4 linked regions of the Drosophila melanogaster genome follow. The protein of the gene in region 1 purifies or fractionates together with the protein of each later gene. This does not show direct contact. Each region holds a gene or a part of one and is shown on either strand. Other genes may lie near its edges.

Region 1 (4,795 bases):
TTTTATACTAAGCGCTTGGCTGAAAATATATGCAAATGGGATTTTAAAAATATTTTTCAGGCGACATTGTGTCTCGCCGAACCTCGATTGCTGCCCATTAAAAATGCTAATTTCAAATATTTTTTAGCAGAAAGCAAGAAATAAATTAGCCACAAAATGCTAAAAGCAGAGGCCAAATAAAAACGATTTTAACTAAGCCACCGAACTCGCTAAGGGTGAGACAAATTAAATTGAATTTGATTATTATATAAAATAAAATAGGTAAGAAGAAAATTCGCGACCATTTCTAAAATATGCAGTCAAAGTTCATTCGATGAAGACGAATTGTAATTTTCATAGATTTATTTGAGCCTAAACGCCGTTCAGTTTGAATGAGTGCTTATCACAAGTACACAAAAACTAAAGAAATATTACTTATATTGCTAATTGATAAGGTCTTTGAATATTAAATGTGTTTATTAAACTGTGTTATTTAAACTACGCAGCAATTCACAAGTAAGTCTTTAAACAAATTAAGCTAGGAAATTTAAATAATACATAAATGGAAACTCAACCAAATATAGAAAATAACAGGAATAGAACTAATATTTACAATATTTCTTAACAAGATAAAAAACCATAACAGGAACAGAACTAATATTTACAATATTTCTTAAAGAGAAAAAAAAACAAAGTGAGAGAAAAACTTGATGACGAAAGCGTCGGCATCCACGTCAGCAAAGCCAAAGCAACTGCAGTTTCCGCTTCCCCTTAATTTTGTTTTGTTTTCGCTTCGTAGTAAAACGTAAAAACGAGAATAAAACCGTGAGCGGGAGCGGGAGCAGCAAGTGAATTTTTTCACGCTGGGTGGAAAAGGCGCGCGAACGTGACGGAACGCCGGAAAGTTGTGGAACAGGCGATGTGAATGAATTGTGGAACGCGTTTGTGTAGAAGGCCTTACACTTATGCTAATGTGGAACCCAGAGTGCGGATCAACGAACGATCCGTGCGCGAAGAGAGCGGGAATAGTTTAAATTCCAGAAAATGCACATTTGTACACATACATACATACATAATTGCCTTGGAAGTTTACGACAGCGACGTTGTCCACAATTTCATTTTATAGATGGGGGCGTGGCACTGATGCATGATCTTGATGGAATTATGTACCTATGTATGTATGTATGTAAATGTAAGCAAGATTCGTTGCAGTAACAACAAATAAGTGGATGAAAACAAGTGCGTCACTTACTCATTAATAAATAAATAATTAATGGGCGGCGCATTCGAAATGTAAAAGAAAACGCAAATAGCTTGCCCACTCGCGGCAATAACGGAACCGTGACTTGCAAATCGGTGAAATGAATAGGATATGCATAACTGTTTTTTCGAAAGACCTGCAAATAATTCAAGAAAGTTCCAGAAATACCCAAATTTAATAGCTATCCAACATTAGGGTGACAATAACGTGTTTCAACAGATGCAATATATACGCAAAATCAAAGAAAAACAAACAAAACCCGTTAAAAACTAATTATTTAAAAAAGAATACAAAAATATAAATTTAAAGCTAACTTAATAAAAAATAACATAATTTTCCCATTATTCATGTGTCGATTAAAACTCAAATGAAAATTCTTACACTTCTCCGCACTCTTTTTTACCCCATAACTCTCTATCTCTCTTCCAGTTCTCCGCGCTCACGATTTGGTAACTGTGGCCCAATGCCGCCGTTCCCAGTTTAGCGCGCTCTCCTTGCCTTTTCTTTCGCCTTTTCGACTCATTTCGAATCGGAAATTTGACGGGTTCGGTCGTAATCACGGATACAAATTTGACGCCCTGTTGGAAAAACCACAACGTCCAATTTTCCTTTTATCGCGCCAAAAAGAAATGCGAGTAAGACCCGAGTCTTCGTGTATACGTATAATTACCATTTGCAATCACAAAGGTTTTGCAACTGTCGCCGGGCGGTGAAAACTCAAGTGAATAAATATCGCAAAGTGAAGCAAATAAAAAAATATTACAAAAACCGGTAAAACGAAATGAAACTGAAATGAGTGAGGGCAGCAACTTCAAGTGACGAAAGCAATCCGTTTACCGTTGTCTTTGCCTCTTCATCCTCCCCGAGAACGGCGGAGAACGCGAAAAATATCATGAAATGTAAAAGCTGGTCCAACAAAATTAACAACTACGTTGTGCGCAAAATAAAGTCTATCAAGGTAAATAGTGTCTTAAAAAGGTGCGGTGTTTGGCCCTGATACATATATACTTATATTTATTTAAATTTTGATTAAGTGAATATATCTTATGAGGCTTATGAGACTTGTTAAGGTGTTAAAAAATAAGTTTATAGCATAGATATGGGGTAATGCGAAAGTACAATTTGTTAAAGTTGTTTTTAATTAAAATAATTTAGTAAAACTTTTTTTACAAACTACAAGTAATGCTTTCGAGAAAATACCTCCCATCAATTTTATCGTTAAATTACACAAAATTGTTCTTGGAAAAAAAAATTGAATTGGTTGTACAAATTTTTGTTTACAAAATACAAAAGCTGCAAAATAATTTATTGACATGAAATAATGAAATACTCATAAAGCTGTGAAATTTAATGTTTGAGCTATATAGCAAAAAAAAAAAGTATTTTTACTTTTTGCAATTCTTGTTACCAATAAATTTAAATATTTCCGTACATTTCATCTAAAAAATTTCCATTGACAACACATGCTGGTATAATATATAAAGATCAAAGCCATAAACTCCTCACTAAGTGGGCAATAAAATAAGATAATTCAACGACTGTCTGTATAACAACCACTTTAAAAGCTATCTAGATGGAGTTGATTATGAATACATTTTCAGATGCTTATATTACTCGACATAAATAGGCAGTGGATGTGTATAATTATTTTGCAGGCACCCGACAACGAAAATAAAATGCATAAAAAAGTTTAATGAAGCCGCAGGGGTTGACTAAATTTATTTAACAACTGCAGTTCATTGCCTCGCAAATTGCTTGATACTTTAAAAACAACAACAAAAATTCACAGCAAAAAAACACAATGATTCCAGCTGGTTTCTAAACAACAATTTATTGTGGTTTCTTTTACTTTTAATTGCTATCTATTAGCAGCAACCAATAAATGAATTATTTATTTTATTTTCTCTTGCAAGCAGCCAAAAGTAAAATTATGCCCCTCTCTCTCCCGATCCGAGTTCATCACTTTGTCTTCTTTTAGCTGTTTTTATTTTGCAAATAACTTGAGTAGTGGATGGGAAACAACGCAAAGGCCTTTCACTTGCATGTCTGTTGCTCGGTTTGTTGTCATTAGGTTTACTGTTGTTGTTGCACACACTCATCCGCTTACATACCTCGTTTATATACTTATTTACATTTGAAGTTGCCGTCGTTGGTATGTTTTACTACGTATCAGCTTGTCCGCTTTGAGCTGCCCCTTCGCTTTTCAAGCATTTTGTTTTGTCCGCTCTGTTTTTCAGCTATTCCAATTCTCTTCCTTCGTTGCCCTGTGTATGTATTCGTAATCGGGTTCGGATTCTTGTTTATTTTTACACCACTTCTCTTTCTCTTTCGCACGAAAATTCCTCGAATTCTTTTTTATCCATATTTTCCTTTTCCAGCGGGAAAAACGAGTTTTTCCAGCAGCGCCGCATTCTTAGCCTGTCGCCTTGTCTCTTTCCCACTTTTATAGTGTCTCCGCTTCTTGCTTGTTTACAGTTAGGAATGCGGTCGTCTCCCCTCTCTCTCTCTCTCTCTCTCTCTCTCTCACTCTCTCTCTTCAAAAAGAGCGTGCGCTCTCTTTGGCCTTATGTAGTTGTGTGGATTTCGACTGAAACTTGTTTTCGCTTTGCCCCGTCGTGTTTATTTATAAAAAGTCACTGGCAAACAATTACAGTGCAACAATTACGCTCTCAAAAGTGGCGCGCAACTTGTTCGCCTTGTAAAAAAAATTGTGACGCCAGCGGCGACACGACTGCGCTGCTTTGGCCCCATTTAACTGAGAGCGCCGAGGGTTAGCTTGGCGGGGGCGGCAACGCCAAAGAGAGTTCTCTCGGGTGGCGCTCGTCTCCCATCGGTTTCGCTGCTCGAGCCAAATGCTTGGAAGTCAAAGTCTCGCCCGACCATAGTTTCTTATTGGATTTCAAACCAGTCGCTTCGTGCACGCGGCGTTCGACTACGCACACACACACACCCATAGCGCGCTGGCATTGATATACATACACAGGCAAATACACGACGCCCCAAGTTCGTGTGATGTAGTGCTGTAGTGGTGCGATTAAATAATACTCCACAAAAGGCCAAATAAATTACATAAAATCTAAATCGGAATAAAAATAAGTGTATTCTCCCTCCGTGTTGTGTTCAAAGTATTTAACCGATTGTTTTCATTAGTCAAATTAATGTAGTACAACGTATGAGTGTGAGCCAGTTCCTAGAAAAATAAGAGGGCATAAAAAATAACAGACACATACAGCGTCTCGTTTCTTATAAATTTTCCTACTGCGTCGGAATTATTGTCTTGATTATTGTTGTTTCTGGCGAACTTTTGTGATTTGTTTCGAGAAACATACTGCGGCGGTTTCATAATTGTGCAAATCAAGGGAAGCACAATACGAATGTTAAGAATCAAAGCTAAGAATTAAATAAAATTAAAGCCGCACACATACATATACACAGGCACGCGCAGAGTCGAAAAAATACGCGCGCTCGCTCTGTACAGTGTGTGCGTGTACGCGGTGGCTGGCTCTTCTTCTTCATTCGTGTGCCCATTGGAATTTGTACCCCAAATCGAAATTA
Region 2 (4,091 bases), on another chromosome or scaffold:
ATAATTAATAATATTTACCTAGCGTGTTCATAACCACCTCTTCCAGCCATGTTTTATTTTTTTCAAATGAGCGAATTCGCTGCAAACCGCAGTGTGAACACACGGGCGAAAAATACTATCGCGGCGAATTTGGTCGGGCAGTGTCACCACACCAATTAGCTGATAGCCGCCTTTCTTAGTATTTTGGTCGTTAGCAGGGACGCATGCCCAATTGCGTCCAATTTTCAGATATCGATTAATATTTATAGTTGTTTAGCATTCTACAATTGTTCCTTTTCTAATGAAACATTCAAAAATGACATTGAATACATAGAGAGGAATACATATGTTTGTATAAATTTTTTTGTTGAAAAAAATAATACTAAAAGTAACTGGACACAAATGGTTTTTTTTAATACTGAAAATCTATTTAGCGGTATTTTTTTTTGGAGCACCAGGATAGTTCTTATCGTTATCGACAGTACAACTAATCAGCTGTGAAAGTACAAACTGCTATATTTTATATAGACTGAACTTAAAATTAAGTCATGGCGGACGACAACTGCATTTTCTGCCTAATTTCCGATGGGCGGATCCCCTCCACTGTTTTGGAAGTCGAAAACGATGACTTTGTCATCTTCCAGGACATTAAACCCGCTTCCCAGCACCATTACTTAGCAGTGACAAAAAAGCACTACGCTAGCCTCAAGGATCTTAACAAATCGCACGATTCTTTGGGTAAGATTGGAATTGGCGTGACCTCGGGCCATGCCCTAATAATTCTGATATCCTTGGATTCCTTACAGTGCAGCTCATGGAGAACGCCCTGAAGGATCTTCTGGTGTCCAAGGGAGTTTCTGTCGATGATGCCCTCTTCGGATTCCATCTGCCGCCGTTTATCACGGTGAAGCATCTTCACATGCATGCCATTAGCCCACGCACCCAAATGACCTTCCTATCTAAGATGATCTTTAGACCCTCCGTTTGGTTCAAAACCGTAAGTATTTGGCTATTCTGATTTTGACCACTTAGAGGCCCGCTTTAATTTAATCTTATCTATTTAATTATAGGTCGACGAGGCGCGTATTTACCTTTCCCAAAAAGAATAGATCGGGACCATCATAGATAACTGTTAGATAAATATATATTGTACTCGCGCGCTGTCATAATTAACTAATAAACGGAGCCAACCTATACAAATATTCTAATGTTCTTTAAATTAAAAGTGTAGCTTCTAAAAAAACCGATTCAAGCTACATGTCATTACATATTTAATGGCCTTTTTGTATGCGATAATATGCAACCTTTTAAAATGTTCTGCAAATTTAAACAGATAAATATGAAAAATGAAAATTTGACATATGGGAATTATCATCATAACATGGATAAAAAGTGACATATAGATAAAAGAACAACTGCTTTTTATTCCTATTTATCAGTATTAGCAATCTATATAACTTTTTGAGAATTTAACTTTTGGGTCAATTTTCGCAATTTTTGTAATATTGCAATAAATTTAACAAAAATTAACATTTCCAATTTGAAATTGATTGGTATTTAAATAACAAGCTCGCCAAGGGATGGCATTCCACATTTGGACTATTATTTCGAATGTTCTGATCAAAATTAAAACCAAAACAGTAAAATTTGAAATTGACCGGCAATCCATGTGACAAACAATCGATAGACCGCTGCTGCCCCACCTTTCCAGTGTGACCAGAAGCAATCCAATTGGCAACGTTTTGCCGGCTACGCAATTAAATATCGATAACACCACTGTCATACCTTACGCTTCTTCTTCTTGCGCCCGCTCGGCAGAAATTGTACACGTTTTTCATTTCGAAAAGTCCAAATTGCCCATTTTTTGGCCATAGACCACAGACTTTAACATGGCCCTGACGTCGCGCTTCTACAACGAGCGGTATCCGGAGATCGAGGATGTCGTTATGGTGAACGTGCTGTCCATCGCCGAGATGGGCGCCTACGTTCATCTGCTTGAGTACAACAACATCGAGGGCATGATCCTGCTGTCGGAGCTGTCCCGCCGGCGCATCCGCTCCATCAACAAGCTGATTCGTGTCGGCAAGACCGAACCGGTGGTGGTTATCCGTGTTGACAAGGAGAAGGGCTACATCGATCTGTCGAAGCGTCGCGTTTCGCCCGAAGATGTCGAGAAGTGCACCGAGCGCTTCGCTAAGGCCAAGGCCATCAACTCACTGCTCCGCCATGTCGCCGACATACTCGGCTTCGAGGGCAACGAGAAGCTGGAAGATCTCTACCAGAAGACCGCCTGGCACTTCGAGAAGAAGTACAACAACAAGACGGTCGCCTACGACATCTTCAAGCAATCGGTCACCGATCCCACCGTCTTCGATGAGTGCAACCTGGAACCGGAGACCAAGGAGGTCCTGTTGAGCAACATCAAGCGGAAGCTGGTCTCGCCCACTGTCAAGATCCGTGCGGACATCGAGTGCTCCTGCTACGGTTACGAGGGCATCGACGCTGTCAAGGCATCGCTCACCAAGGGCCTGGAGCTGAGCACCGAGGAGCTGCCCATTCGCATCAACCTGATAGCACCGCCACTGTAAGTACCTGTAAACTATTGTAATTTCCCTTGGTGTAGACGAAATTAACGAGGGTTTCTTTAATTAAAAGAATACGAAAATTGTAGATTTCTGTTCTTCATTTTAGCCGAAATTTATCGTTAAATAATAAGGAAATCCCTTTCATCTTGTATATATTGTAAATGACCACTTGGTTAAGAGAAAAACTTATATTCAATTTAATTTTACAACTTCTTGTGAAATCGAAATAACTAAAAATGTTGCTTAAATGAGTTAATTGGTTCCTAAACGTAATCGCTCTTCATCCGTATCCTTTTAGCTATGTAATGACCACATCCACTACCAAGAAGACAGACGGTTTAAAGGCTCTGGAGGTGGCCATTGAGCACATTCGCGCCAAGACCAGCGAGTACGATGGAGAGTTCAAGGTGATCATGGCACCCAAACTGGTTACGGCCATCGACGAGGCGGATCTGGCCAGACGCCTGGAGCGCGCTGAGGCCGAGAACGCCCAGGTGGCTGGCGACGATGACGAGGAGGATGGCGCCGACCAGGAGGGCATGCAGTTCGATCCAGAGAAGGAGTTCAACCACAAGGGATCGGGGGCGGGTCGTGCGAACGAGGAGGATGAGGAGGAGGAAGAGGATTAGCGTAGCCACAGCATCAGACACAACTATAGCAACTGTAACAAACAATTAAAGGAGTTTTGCAAAAATCAGAAGTTGTAATTTTATAATTTATATACATAACATATAACGAATGCTATTAAAGATTTATAAAAGTGAAAACAGCGAGATGCCCAAGAAGACAAATCAAAATGCGCTTGCTCATCTTTTTCTTTTCAAATCCAAAACAATACTATCGACCATTTATTATTGAACCCAATTCAGTTTTTCTTGACAGACCCTTAATACTAATTCAAATTGTGTATAAGTGTAATATTATTTAATAGTCAGGCATTCTTTCGTTTTTCTTTTGTATTTACTTGTTTCATGTTTTCGTTGATGCGGCTTGTTTCCATCACCGTCCAGATTTTCATTCATTAAATTTTAGATTATATCGCTTACTATTCTCTCTAGAAAAAACCAACCCACCTCTGCTTTAAAAATGACCCGGTAGTGCTGCGTAGCACCCTAATTAGATATTGTACATCGTAACAAACGATTCGTATAAAAAAAGTGACATCAGTTTATAAACATTTCACTAAATTAGAAAGGTTTTCGTTTCGGTATTCATTGCTTTGTGGTTGTGTATAGTCCTTACTATTTCCTATTTGACTTTATATGTGGCGTGGCGTGGCTTATTATTTGGTATTGCTCGGAGTATTTCGTTGGAACGGCTTCCAGTTAATGGGGTCCAGTCTGTTCATCATCCTATTGCAATCCGGTTTCTGGCTATGGGGAGTTCGGCTTTAGGTGGTGGTGTGGGCTGTGCGTCTAGCCGCGTTCAGCTGAGTTCGCTCCCCGAGGCGGCATCGTTGCGGTGGAGCAGCACGGACCTGGCCGCCTGCTTGTTACCGCCGCACAGGCGCAGCACGGTAAGCACATC
Region 3 (2,951 bases), on another chromosome or scaffold:
ATGCCTGCGAGTTCTGTGACCACATCTTCTTGACGCAGAAATGCCTGCAGCGCCACATCGAGGACGATCATGTGGTGGAAATGGAGCCGTACCAGAACGAGTTCGAAGACGACGGCGAAGGAGAAGGCGGCGTCGATGAGAAGGAGGAACATCTTGACGATTTTGAAGACATGGACAATGTGAAGCAGGAAGAATTCGTGACGGAATACTTAGAAGACGATGCTCTCTATGAGGACCACCTAGACGATAGCGACGAATCCTTCACGCCGCCGCCTCCAAAGCAGCGTAAAACCAATCCTCCCAAGGATGCCCAGCAATCCGTGCGCCAAACTCGCAGTCGGGATGCTCAAAGAATCACTCAGAAGACAGGAAAGAACGAAGGCAAGCCTCATCACAAACTGGAACGCAACCTTAAGAATCGCCGATCCGCAAAATAATGATAGTAGTTGAATATATTGCATGCGAAAAGTGCATCCGTGCTTATGCTTAAATTTAAATTCTATTTAATTGTAACTTTTAATTTTTCCTTTAACCGAAGGCCTTTTAAATAAACTCCTCACCAGAATTCCGCTGTCGCTCATTGAAATGGTCTTTATGGGATCTCTCCTCGCTCTAATTTGATCTTTATTGAAGCGCCAACTGGAGTTTGGGTATATGTGTTTTCTGTGTATTTCCGCGTAAAGTTCAGTTTACATTAACGTCTATCACTACCAAACAACGAATACATCCCGCAGAGGGAACCGGAGACGGTGGCCACCTAGTGCTCGTAGCCGTCGGGCAGGGCGTTAACGTGGGGGTTGTGGAACAGGCTCTTCTGGCCCTCACCCCAGGGGAAGCGCTTCTCGCGGCGGCGCAGGTAGTCGTACTTGACGAACTCCTGGCGGGGCTTGTCGTGCTCCTCCTGGTGCTTCAGGTAGGCGTTCAGCATGCACAGTCCCACGGCGGGCACGGCCACGAAGAAGGACAGGCGCTTCCACACCTTGTAGCCACCTGAAGGATGAGAGATGAGATGAGCATGAAAGGATGTGTTATAAGAGCGAATCCTTCTCCACCAATCGATCTTGCCCAATGGTAAATTACATAACCTTAACCTTACAAAAGGGGATGAATTTGGCAATTGGGACGCTGGACGGTCACTTACCAGAGTGCTCGCCGGCCACGGCGGCGGTGCCGGACATATTCCGGGCGGCAGAAGCGCCGAATTGGCGGCGAATTGCGTGGTTTAGAATAGCGGACATATTTTCAGTCGATTCTTGGCCCGAATGAAAATTTGCTGTTTTGACAAGTAAATAGGGATGGGCTACATCCATAATGTCGTGACTCGTTCGCTAAATTATATCGATAGTGGTTGGCCGTGATTTCTAAATTACGTACAACAAAGCTGTTAATTGGCTTAATATAAATAAAAAACAAAATAAAACAATTCTATGCCAAATTGTAAATAAGTAATTTGACATTTTTCCTTTGTATCCTCCCCTGGCTGCCGTGACACAGCTCTAGCTAATCGAGAAGTTATCGCCTCACGCGCCCACCGCTGACGATAGGTAGGTACTGTGTGTGCGGACTATCGAGGCTGGAGTCGGCTACCAATCGTCCATCCACAACAACAACGTGTCGCGTAATTATTTTCCCCTCTTGTTTATAAAATTCAGTGCATCAGATTGTAAATACACTGCACACCCTGCAAAGCCACCGCAGCATCTCGAACCTAAGCAACGAACGGGAAAATCATTATCGTACGGGCAGTGAAGCGCAGTTAACCAGGAGCAACAACCAATCCAAGTACAAAGTAGCCACAAAACGTCAGTTATTCACTAAGTGCACAGTTCGCCAGCGGACATAACGGTCGCTACACTCGGAGAAAACCACAAGTATTAAGGACCACACAGTCCACCAATCCACTAGCAGCCCACTGCCATGGCCGCCAACAACTTGCGACAAATCCCGCTGACCTGCAGTGGCCACACGCGACCCGTGGTCCACCTGGACTTCAGCGACATCTGCGACGCCGGCTACTTTCTCATCTCGGCCTGCAAAGGTAAGGTCCGCGGGATCGGGCAGCCAGTCGCATGCGATTAGCCGTCCTTGCGCGCTATTTATACACCACTTTCCGTCGTCGCACAGTGGTTGTCATAATCATACGATGGGGTTAAAATCGGAAGTGTCAGTCACTGACGAACTGGGACACAACGCAGATTCCGTAAGAATTGGATTTAACTAGTGTTTCTATATAGACAGTGTTCATTTGCAATAGTTTAATGTCTATACAGCAAGTTTCCTGGTAAAAACAGGCAGTTACTTTTGCTTATTGGTCAAATTTGTAGTATAGTTTTGTAGGAAGGGCAAATAATGTTTTACCCAGAAGGCCATGTCGAAAAACAAGTTATGTTGTCCGTGTTCTTTGACGGATCGTTATGTTCGTGGGAAAGGTGCTGCAACAGAGCGGCATGGAATCACATGAACTACAGGCGGGCCAGCACGGTGTAGCATCATGTCTAGCCTGTGGGAAACCTTGACCCAAATGCAAAGTCACTCATCGCGAGCGAAACCTGTTTTCTGCGAGTGCGAAACCCTTTTGCCTGCCGCCACTCGCATGCTACAAAACTCGCATTCTTTGCCTTGAGGTGTCAGCCAGTCGATGCGATTGCAATTGCCATGGCAGTTGCAATTCGCAATTCGTTAGCTATTGCCTGTTTTTTACAGGCACTTTGCATTCGTGGCTTTCGCAAATGTTGCTTTTATGCGGAAAGAGCGCTCGTTCCCACTGCAAGTTCAAGTTGACTTCGTTATCGCCTTTTAACGTACTCGCTTCCCCTTGTTTAGCAACTTTTCGAAACTGCTCGTTCAGGAAGCACCTTGGAACTTCTATATTTATATGCTGTGTGTATATGCAGCTGCCGTTTGTCTGCCGCCTGGAAGATTCTGCTTGCTGGATACACTCTCCCGATCCC
Region 4 (8,043 bases), on another chromosome or scaffold:
ATGGGTTCTGCTTGCGGTGGTACATAAGCCAGTCAGTGGTGTTGATTCCTGGTGACTTTCTGCGCGGCGTTCGTCTTTGATTGGCCAAGCTTAGGTGACTATCCAGTCGCGAGAGCGATGTTGAGTGGATAGCGGATGCGGGCTGTTGAAGATGAAGGTGATGGTGGATAACACTTGTCGATGGCTGGCTCTGTCCTGTCTCCATGTCATCACAACTGCCATGAGATTCGGTTATGTTGTGCACCACGATTGACAGTTCCGATTCGTTGGCAGCCGAGTCCAGCGAGCGGGCCTTCTCCTTGGTGCTCTTGATAGTCGGTGTCTTGGGCTTGGGCAATGGTGATGGCTGGCTCGAGTTTTTTATGGGCACGTCCGTGATGCGAATGGTGAGATTATTTTTATTCTTGCGGTTCTTTCGCCCTTCCGATTTTTGTTGCTGCTGCTCCGGCGGCTCGGCCAACGCAGGACTACGATCCCGACGTGTAGCTTCCTCTAAACAGACTGTATCCATGGGCGCATCCTGCACGACATGATCGATCTCGGGGAAGCGAAAGAAGTTGCCGTTCTTGTAGCCGGCCGAGTTAATAATGTTCAGGGGTGAACCGGACACGTTTAGGTTGTTGATGGAGGATAGTAGTTTCGGGGAGTAGCTTAGGCGACTGGCCTCCAGTCCCGGCGTCGTGGAGGACTCATCCTTAAACAGGATGGTGGGTGAGTTGTGCTCGCTCTTCGACAAGTACAAGCTGTTCTCTAGGTCTTGGTCGACTGACCCGCCCTTGGGCATAGTGTTCTCCTTGTCGATGCCACGGCCACTGACCCGCTCCTCGCCGCTGGAGGTATTAATATGCGGCGAGCAGGATCGGCGATCATACTGTGATAACCTCTTGAACTTGCGGCCTAAAGTGGGAGACTGTGAGCTGGATGGATGGTGGACGTGGGCTGCTGGATGGGGGCTGGTAATGGTGAACTGCCGGGGGGTGAAGACCTCCTCCTCCTGATCCTCGTGCTCGGGAAAGCCCGGAACCCCGCCCCCAACCTCCACCGTGGGCGACGGAAACTCGAAGGACGTCTGCAGGTACTCGAGGGGCGTAAAGTAGGGTGTACTCTTGTTGCTCTCCGCATCCTCGCCAGCTTCAAGTGGGGTCGTGTCGGAGGGGGCGGCGTGGGTGGGACGGGGGGTCTGTGGGTAGGGGTACTCAATGGGTGCATTCTCCTTGTTGTTGTTTCGTAGCTTGTCCATGATACACACACACAATTGCTGAAGCGGGGCGATCGCAGCGCAGTCGCTCCGCCCGTTTAGTGTCTTGTCCTCACTCGATCGGCATTATAACTATCTCGCCCGCACAGTTAGCACTTCCGAATTGGACGCAAATCATGGGGAAAAGAGCGTTTTCTTTTCACAACATTTTCAGAGCTAAAGCATGGAGGGCTACCAGACCGCGTATGTAATCGATCCGGCAATGCCTTCATTGCTTACCGTGCTGCCAGGCCGCAGACTAACTGCACCAAGACCTGGCAACGTTGTACCTAATTTAACCGCATTTTTCAAGTGTCTTTTAAAATAAAAAGAAAGAATAGGTTAACAGATCTAGTGTTTACATCAAGGAGTTGCAGAATTTGTAATGCAGATGTTGTACACGGGCGATAGTTAATTCAATCGATCAACTGAGATGGTATCAGACAATTATATTTTGCATGCATCCAGAAAAATTGTTGTAAAAGATCACAGACTTAGTTCTAAATAGTATTTCAACCTACCTGTATTTTTGTTTATGAAATCACTACAAAGTTGTGAACAATTTAGAAGCAACAACGTAGTGTTCCTATTACCACCGTTCCGTTTACCTCACAGTTGCACGTTGCTCTTTGGCACGCTTTTATCTGTGCATTTGCTTGGAAATAATTAATTGAGTTAGGCATTTAAATCCTTTTGTGTACTTTAGACTTATTTAAAGACCTTTTAGATTGGTTTAATTTGCCGAAAGACGAAAACAAACAAATTTGTGCGACAGCTGACTTCATTATTTCAACGACAATAGCAAAAGGCCACACTAATTTTGCGAAAAGCGCGTGGTATTTAATACCTTATTTATTTGCTTTATTTCGCCATTAGAAGTAAGTTTCGCTGTGTCGAAAATCTAGCAAAGAAAGCCACTGGATCAAGACCTAGTGCATCCAAAACCCAGTAATTCATTTCGATGTCTGAGGGCAGCGGAAGCGAGAATGCGGCCGCAGCAGAGGCTGCGGCCGAGGCAGAGGCCGCGACTGAAGCGGCACTGATGGCTGAAGCTGTGGCTGTGGCCTACCAGAGCGACGAGGAGGAGCAGCCAGAAGCCGAGGATATGCCGGAGCAGGCTGGCGATAACCAGGAAGAGGACGCCGCTGAACAACAGGATGGGGGGGAACCAGAGGCCGACGAAGACGCTGATGCTGACGACGCCATGAGCGTGGAAAATGCGGAAAACGAAAGCGATAGCGGTGGAAACGCCGAGGAAACCGCTGCCGCCGACCGTCGCCAAGCCACCAAGAAGGAGCTCACCCAGATTATCGACAAGTGGGAGCAACAGCAGACCCAAAATGGATACGATCCAGTGCCCACTCTCAGGAGGTAAGCGTGCTTCAAAATCATTAACGCATGGGTCCAACTTAATACCTTTACTATCGCAGCCTTGCGGAGATCTTTGAGCGTGAGAAGGACGTGTATCGGCGCAAGGATCCGGATCCCTTGGACTCACGACATCCATATAGAGCCGATCCCAGCTGCCAGTACGGATTGCTACTCAAGCTGCTCTTTCGGAAGGATACCTTCATGGGCAAAGTAAGAATAAAGTCATGTGATTTTTATTTTTCTAAAAAGCAATGTAAATGTTTTCTTAAAATCAGGTGTTTTAGAATTTCCAAAACATAAGCTAACTAAAGTGAAATATTTTATTTAACTAGCTCCTCAACGATTACCTGCGAGAGAACTATTTCAGTCGCCAGAATGTCAGTCGCAGTTCTCTAGAACTAAACATCTTGGCCTGCCGCCTCATTCTGGAGATAATGCCAGGAATGGAGACCTCTGCAGTATTTCAGACCGCCGAAGGCGATGGAACCATCAATCGCATCTACTCTTGGGCAGAGGACAGCATTGAACCGCTTCAGAGCTATGCCACCGGGCTTTTAGCCGAAGCGATGGAAGTGAGCGACATAGCCATAAACTTTCGCGATCTTAATATTCGATTGGTGCCAAAGATGATCAAGCGTCTGCACATGCTCCTGGCGATCAGCAAGAGCGCCACTTCAGATGTCAATACGTCGATGCACAATCTGTCGGCTGACAGCAGCACGGCGGGCATGCTTAGCTGGGTGGCCTGCGCCAGTAATGCATCGGCTCCTCAATCGCCGCAGCACAATGGCAGTGGGCTGGGAGCAAGTTCCTCGCAGCATGGAGACGCCTCTAATATGTCCATTCTGTTCGAGAACAGCAGAGATGCCTTTTCCGTATCTCGCTATTACAAACGGATGTACATTCCTTTGCACCCGGCCACAGCAGATACCAGCCAAATGTTAATCATGCGCTTCCTGACCAGCCTGGGCGAATATCAAGAGTTCCTAGCCATGGCTTTCGAAAACAATGTGATGCAGCTAATTTTTGGCTACCTGGAGAACTTGGATCGCCGGGACACCTGCTTGGCCTACGAAGTTTTGAAGTATCTGGCTTCCCTTCTTTGCCACAAGAAGTTTGCTTTAGAGTTCATTTCACACGGTGGACTGGAGGTCAGTAAATGGTCTTGTAGAGGGAATGTAATTATTTTTAACTTTACTATTTTTTACAGCTTTTGTTAAAAGTGCCCCGCCCCAGTTTGGCGACTACTGGTGTGTCCATCGCCATCTACTACTTAGCATACTGTGAAGACGCCATGGAACGCATATGCAGTATGCAAAGACCACTTATTTCAGAACTAGTTCGCTACGCGCTTTGGATTCTGGGTCGTTGCCACGACTCCTCAAAGTGCCATGCCACCATGTTCTTCAGTCTGAGCTTCCAATTTAAGGTCATATTGGATGAGTTTGATGCTCAGGATGGTTTAAGAAAGCTGTACAATGTCGTAAGTAAATGGTTTAAACGAAAGAAGTTCGATTAAAGTCAATTACCTTAACTTCTTCCTAATAGATTTCCGTACTAAAAATTCTTGATCCGAGCCACAACGACAGCGATAATGACTCTGATTTCAACGAAGACGTAGAATGTGCTTCCCGACAAATGGTGCGCCACGTCTGCGTAGCCCTCAAGCGCTATATGGAGGCGCACTTCTTCTACAAGTACAACAGCTTTCTGTGCCAAACAAATGCGGCATCCCCGGCACCGTCATCAGCCCACTATTTCAATCAGAATCCCACGGTTGCTGCCAAACTGACCTTTGACCAATTGAACGACCAGATTCGCACGCTCCAGGAGCACACTTCTATCCGGGCGCACTGGCAACCCGTGGATCAGCTAATGAAGCTTGGTGGAATCACCATGCTACTCAGGATCATCGCCTTCAGTTACGATTGGGTGAACAGTGGACGCTCCGAGACGGTGCGCTCGGCTCTGGACGTGCTCAGCGTATGCTGTATTATCCCAAGAGTTTATGTTGTGCTCTGCGAGCGCCTGCTGATGCTAGACAAGACAACTACCTCCGGATTTTGCTCGGTTCTGGGCGCTGCTGCAGGAGAGATTAGCTCGGATGCAGAGGTTATCAAATCGGCGTTAGCGGTGCTGTGCCATTGTGTTTGCTCTCCGATCATTCGCAAGGACAGCGGCACCAGCCTGATTAAGTTTGGAACGTCCTCCAGGAAGAACAAGGCCAACCATAAGTACGCCGAAGAGCTGATTGAACGTGTGTGGGAGTCCGTGTGCTCCAACAATGGCATTGTGGTCTTGCTATCGCTGATGCAGACCAAAGGACCCATTACGGATGCGGACTGTATACGTGGAATGGCCTGTAGGGCCTTGGCGGGACTTGCTCGCTCCGATCGGGTCAGGCAGATCGTCAGCAAGCTTCCACTCTTTGCCAGCGGACAACTCCAGACGCTGATGCGGGATCCCATACTCCAGGAGAAGCGCGCGGAACATGTAATCTTCCAAAAGTACGCATTGGAGTTGCTAGAACGAGTGTCGGGTAAGACGAAACCGCTAAATAATCCTTTGGATCCATCGCTGTCCAACATGCACAAGGCCAATGTAATCGCCCAGACACGCATCCAGTATAACAAGCAGCAGCTGTATCAGCTTATCTTCGAGCACCTGGAAAGCAACGGTCTCTCCCAGACAGCCCAAATGCTGCAACGGGAGGTGGGTCTTCCGCTACAGACTCCCACTACGCGCAGTTTTCATCAATCACCTTTCGACTACAAAAGTCTTCCCAGTGGTAGTAGCTCGCTGTCTAGAAATCGTCTGCGAAGCCGCATGCAAGATGTGAACGCAGCGATAATGGGCAATGGAGACTTAAACAGAAGTTTTGGTGAGGACTCCTCGCCGGCAGGAGCCGGTGGTAGCAATGCGGGAGATGGAGTCAGCATACCAAATTTTAGCTCCCTTAACACAACGCAGACGCCCATAAAAATAAGGAGGACGGATAGAAGTTCAGTTAGCCGCTCTATCCAGAAGCAGGCAATGGAGCCTGGTGGCATGTCAGTTGGTCTTGCCGAAGATGGTCAACTGCATCCCAAGAGGATCACCCTAAATACCATCGTAACGGAATACCTCACCAACCAGCACTCGCTGTGCAATAATCCGGTGACAACCTGCCCGCAGTTTGATTTGTACGAGCCGCACAAGTGTCCAGATCCGAAGCCCAGCCGATTGCTAAGCTCGAACTACAACCTGACTAGTCGGCATGCTCGAACCCAAGCCGGATTTAATACCAGTCGCTTTGACCGTCGCTATGTGCACACGCACTTTTCACCATGGCGTAGCATTCGATCGGCGGACTACGAGGACCTAGAGTTCACCTGTTGCGATTTGGCGGGTAAATACATCATTGTGGGCACGCAGCAGGGCGACGGACGAGTGTTCAACATGAACGATGGCGTGGAGCAGTTCTTCTCCAACTGTCACAACTTTAGCGTTGATGCTATTAAGGCTAATAGAGCCGGAGACTTGGTCATCACATCTAGCTTCTGGCGCACACCCACCAGCATTCTATGGTCTATTGCGGACGATGAGTTCAAGCTAAAGTTGCGACTTCCCGATGTCACGTACTGTGAGTTCAGTCAAACGGTGCAGGATCGTTTGTTGGGCACCCAGAATGAGGTATACTAATTTGAGTTATTTTACGATCTATAGCAGTTTCAACTAATAAATTCACCTTTTTTTCACAGTGCGCCACGCTCTTTGACATAAACACTGGTTCCAAGGTGGCCTCGTTTACGCCAACCATACCTAATCTCTACACCAAAAACAGAGCAACTCTTTGCCGAACCGATGAGCTGATTTTGTCGGGTAATTACATAAATGCATTTATAAGTATAAAGTTACCTGAAATGTAACTGAATCGAATTCCTAGATGGCGTTCTATGGGATGTGCGTTCCGGAAAGGAGATCCACAAGTTCGACAAGTTTAATCAGTGCATATCAGGCGTCTTCCATCCCAACTGTCTGGAGGTACAGTCGAAATTTGTGTTGATTTATTTATACCATGTTAATATTTCCAACACAATTTGTAGATCATTGCCAATACCGAGGTGTGGGACTTGCGCACCTTTCATTTGCTGCAGACAGTGCCGGTGCTAGACCAGCGTAACTGCACCTTCTCCCCGATGCATGTAATCTACGGTGCTAGCTTGGGGGCTGATAGGGACCATGACATGGAGACGACCACCTACGACACCAGTTTCAACGTTCTGGACGCCTACGACTACTCGAGCATTGCGACCATTGACGTTAAACGCAACATAAACGATCTGAGCGTCAGCGCCAACGGGAGTCTGATCGCCGTGGTCGAAGACTACAGTGGCTACGAGTCCAAACAGGAGACCTACGTGAAGATCTACGCTGTGGGCGTTAAAAAGAGCGAGCGCTCGGAAGAGGTGCGTGCGGTTAAGGAGCTGGCCAGCGAGGTATCGGACGCAGTGGCGCCGGGGTCGGCAAACGCTAACGATGGTGGCGATGCTTCGCTGCTTCGGGTTTTCGAGGAGCCACCCGAGGAGCGCCCACAGCCGGCGGAAAACGCTGCACCCGCCGGTCCCAACGATTTTGAGGAGGATCAGCTACGCCGGCTAAGTCCCGCCACGCAAGCAAGTCCAAATCTTTCTCGCCAACATGCACCCAACAGCTCAATTGTTGGGGTGCGACGGCGGGCACGTAGACTGGGTGGCAATGGCAGCGGCAATGGCAGTGGCGGGAATGGGAATCTGAATCTTAATGGTGGTGGCGGAGTCGGAATCGGCGCTGCCATAGATCTGAGAACCCTCATGCGGCGCATGGATGATATTGAACTAAATATTATGTCTATGCTTGCAGGAAGATGATGAGGAGGTGCCCGAATCTGATGAGGACGGTTCGGATACGGGCTCCGAGAACAGTAAGTTTGATTTTGATTATAATCATTTAATCCGTTGCTAAATCTCCTTACTCCCTAGCTTTTGCTATAGGTCAAAATTTACTGGGTTTCCCCCTGCTTCGTAACCTTCATGGCTCGGACAACGATGACGAAGATCTGGATGAGGACGACGATGATGGAGAGCCGCTGGACTCCGATGACGATAGTGACGACGACGACGGCTCCGACAATGGCGACGACGATGGCGACTTTGATGTGCTGGAATACTTCGATAGAAGCAGCTCAGACGGTAACTCAAGATCTTTAGACTCTGTTCGTGTACGACTTGTATTTTCTCCTCCCCTAGATTGAGCCCACTCCTCATCCAAACCAACAACACACACAACTGTTCCTTCACCGATCCACTGCTCCGCTCCACTGTTCACCCACTGTTTCGTCTCGTCTCGTTTGAACCTCTTAGTTGTCCGCAGCGCGCATGGAAGGATGAGCAAGCAACAGTCGTCGTAGCATAAGC

The links.
Region 2: the proteins of Pdk1 (region 1) and eIF2alpha purify together in Drosophila melanogaster (affinity purification with mass spectrometry, with the first as the bait; one large-scale study listed by BioGRID). This does not show direct contact.
Region 3: the proteins of Pdk1 (region 1) and levy purify together in Drosophila melanogaster (affinity purification with mass spectrometry, with the first as the bait; one large-scale study listed by BioGRID). This does not show direct contact.
Region 4: the proteins of Pdk1 (region 1) and mahj purify together in Drosophila melanogaster (affinity purification with mass spectrometry, with the first as the bait; one large-scale study listed by BioGRID). This does not show direct contact.

The regions. Positions count from the first base shown.
Region 1 is NT_037436.4:127,691-132,485, forward strand, and holds the start of Pdk1 (Phosphoinositide-dependent kinase 1), read left to right. Parts: upstream 1-1,759; 5' UTR 1,760-2,132; coding exon 2,133-2,198; intron 2,199-3,039; exon of another isoform or gene 3,040-3,881; intron 3,882-4,121; exon of another isoform or gene 4,122-4,795.
Region 2 is NC_004354.4:16,444,657-16,448,747, reverse strand, and holds eIF2alpha (eukaryotic translation initiation factor 2 subunit alpha), read left to right. Parts: upstream 1-1,754; 5' UTR 1,755-1,868; coding exon 1,869-2,563; intron 2,564-2,862; coding exon 2,863-3,193; 3' UTR 3,194-3,572; downstream 3,573-4,091. Other genes in the region: eIF4H1 (eukaryotic translation initiation factor 4H1), read right to left, coding at 19-50; CG34015 (uncharacterized protein), read left to right, coding at 528-717, 786-976, 1,050-1,088; rngo (rings lost), read right to left, coding at 3,990-4,091. UniProt on the Drosophila melanogaster protein: eIF-2 functions in the early steps of protein synthesis by forming a ternary complex with GTP and initiator tRNA. This pre-initiation complex mediates ribosomal recognition of a start codon during the scanning process of the leader region.
Region 3 is NT_033778.4:23,546,577-23,549,527, reverse strand, and holds levy (levy), read right to left. Parts: upstream 1,290-2,951; 5' UTR 1,239-1,289; coding exon 1,142-1,238; intron 991-1,141; coding exon 758-990; 3' UTR 546-757; downstream 1-545. Other genes in the region: pita, read left to right, coding at 1-437; wmd (wing morphogenesis defect), read left to right, coding at 1,918-2,038.
Region 4 is NT_033778.4:21,622,998-21,631,040, forward strand, and holds the start of mahj (mahjong), read left to right. Parts: upstream 1-2,032; 5' UTR 2,033-2,198; coding exon 2,199-2,608; intron 2,609-2,667; coding exon 2,668-2,818; intron 2,819-2,940; coding exon 2,941-3,759; intron 3,760-3,818; coding exon 3,819-4,091; intron 4,092-4,156; coding exon 4,157-6,280; intron 6,281-6,348; coding exon 6,349-6,469; intron 6,470-6,533; coding exon 6,534-6,631; intron 6,632-6,693; coding exon 6,694-7,056; intron 7,057-7,489; coding exon 7,490-7,550; intron 7,551-7,608; coding exon 7,609-7,818; intron 7,819-7,875; coding exon 7,876-7,880; 3' UTR 7,881-8,043. Other genes in the region: PTP-ER (protein tyrosine phosphatase-ERK/Enhancer of Ras1), read right to left, coding at 1-1,240. UniProt on the Drosophila melanogaster protein: Probable substrate recognition component of tsome E3 ubiquitin-protein ligase complex. Plays a key role in cell competition via its interaction with l(2)gl.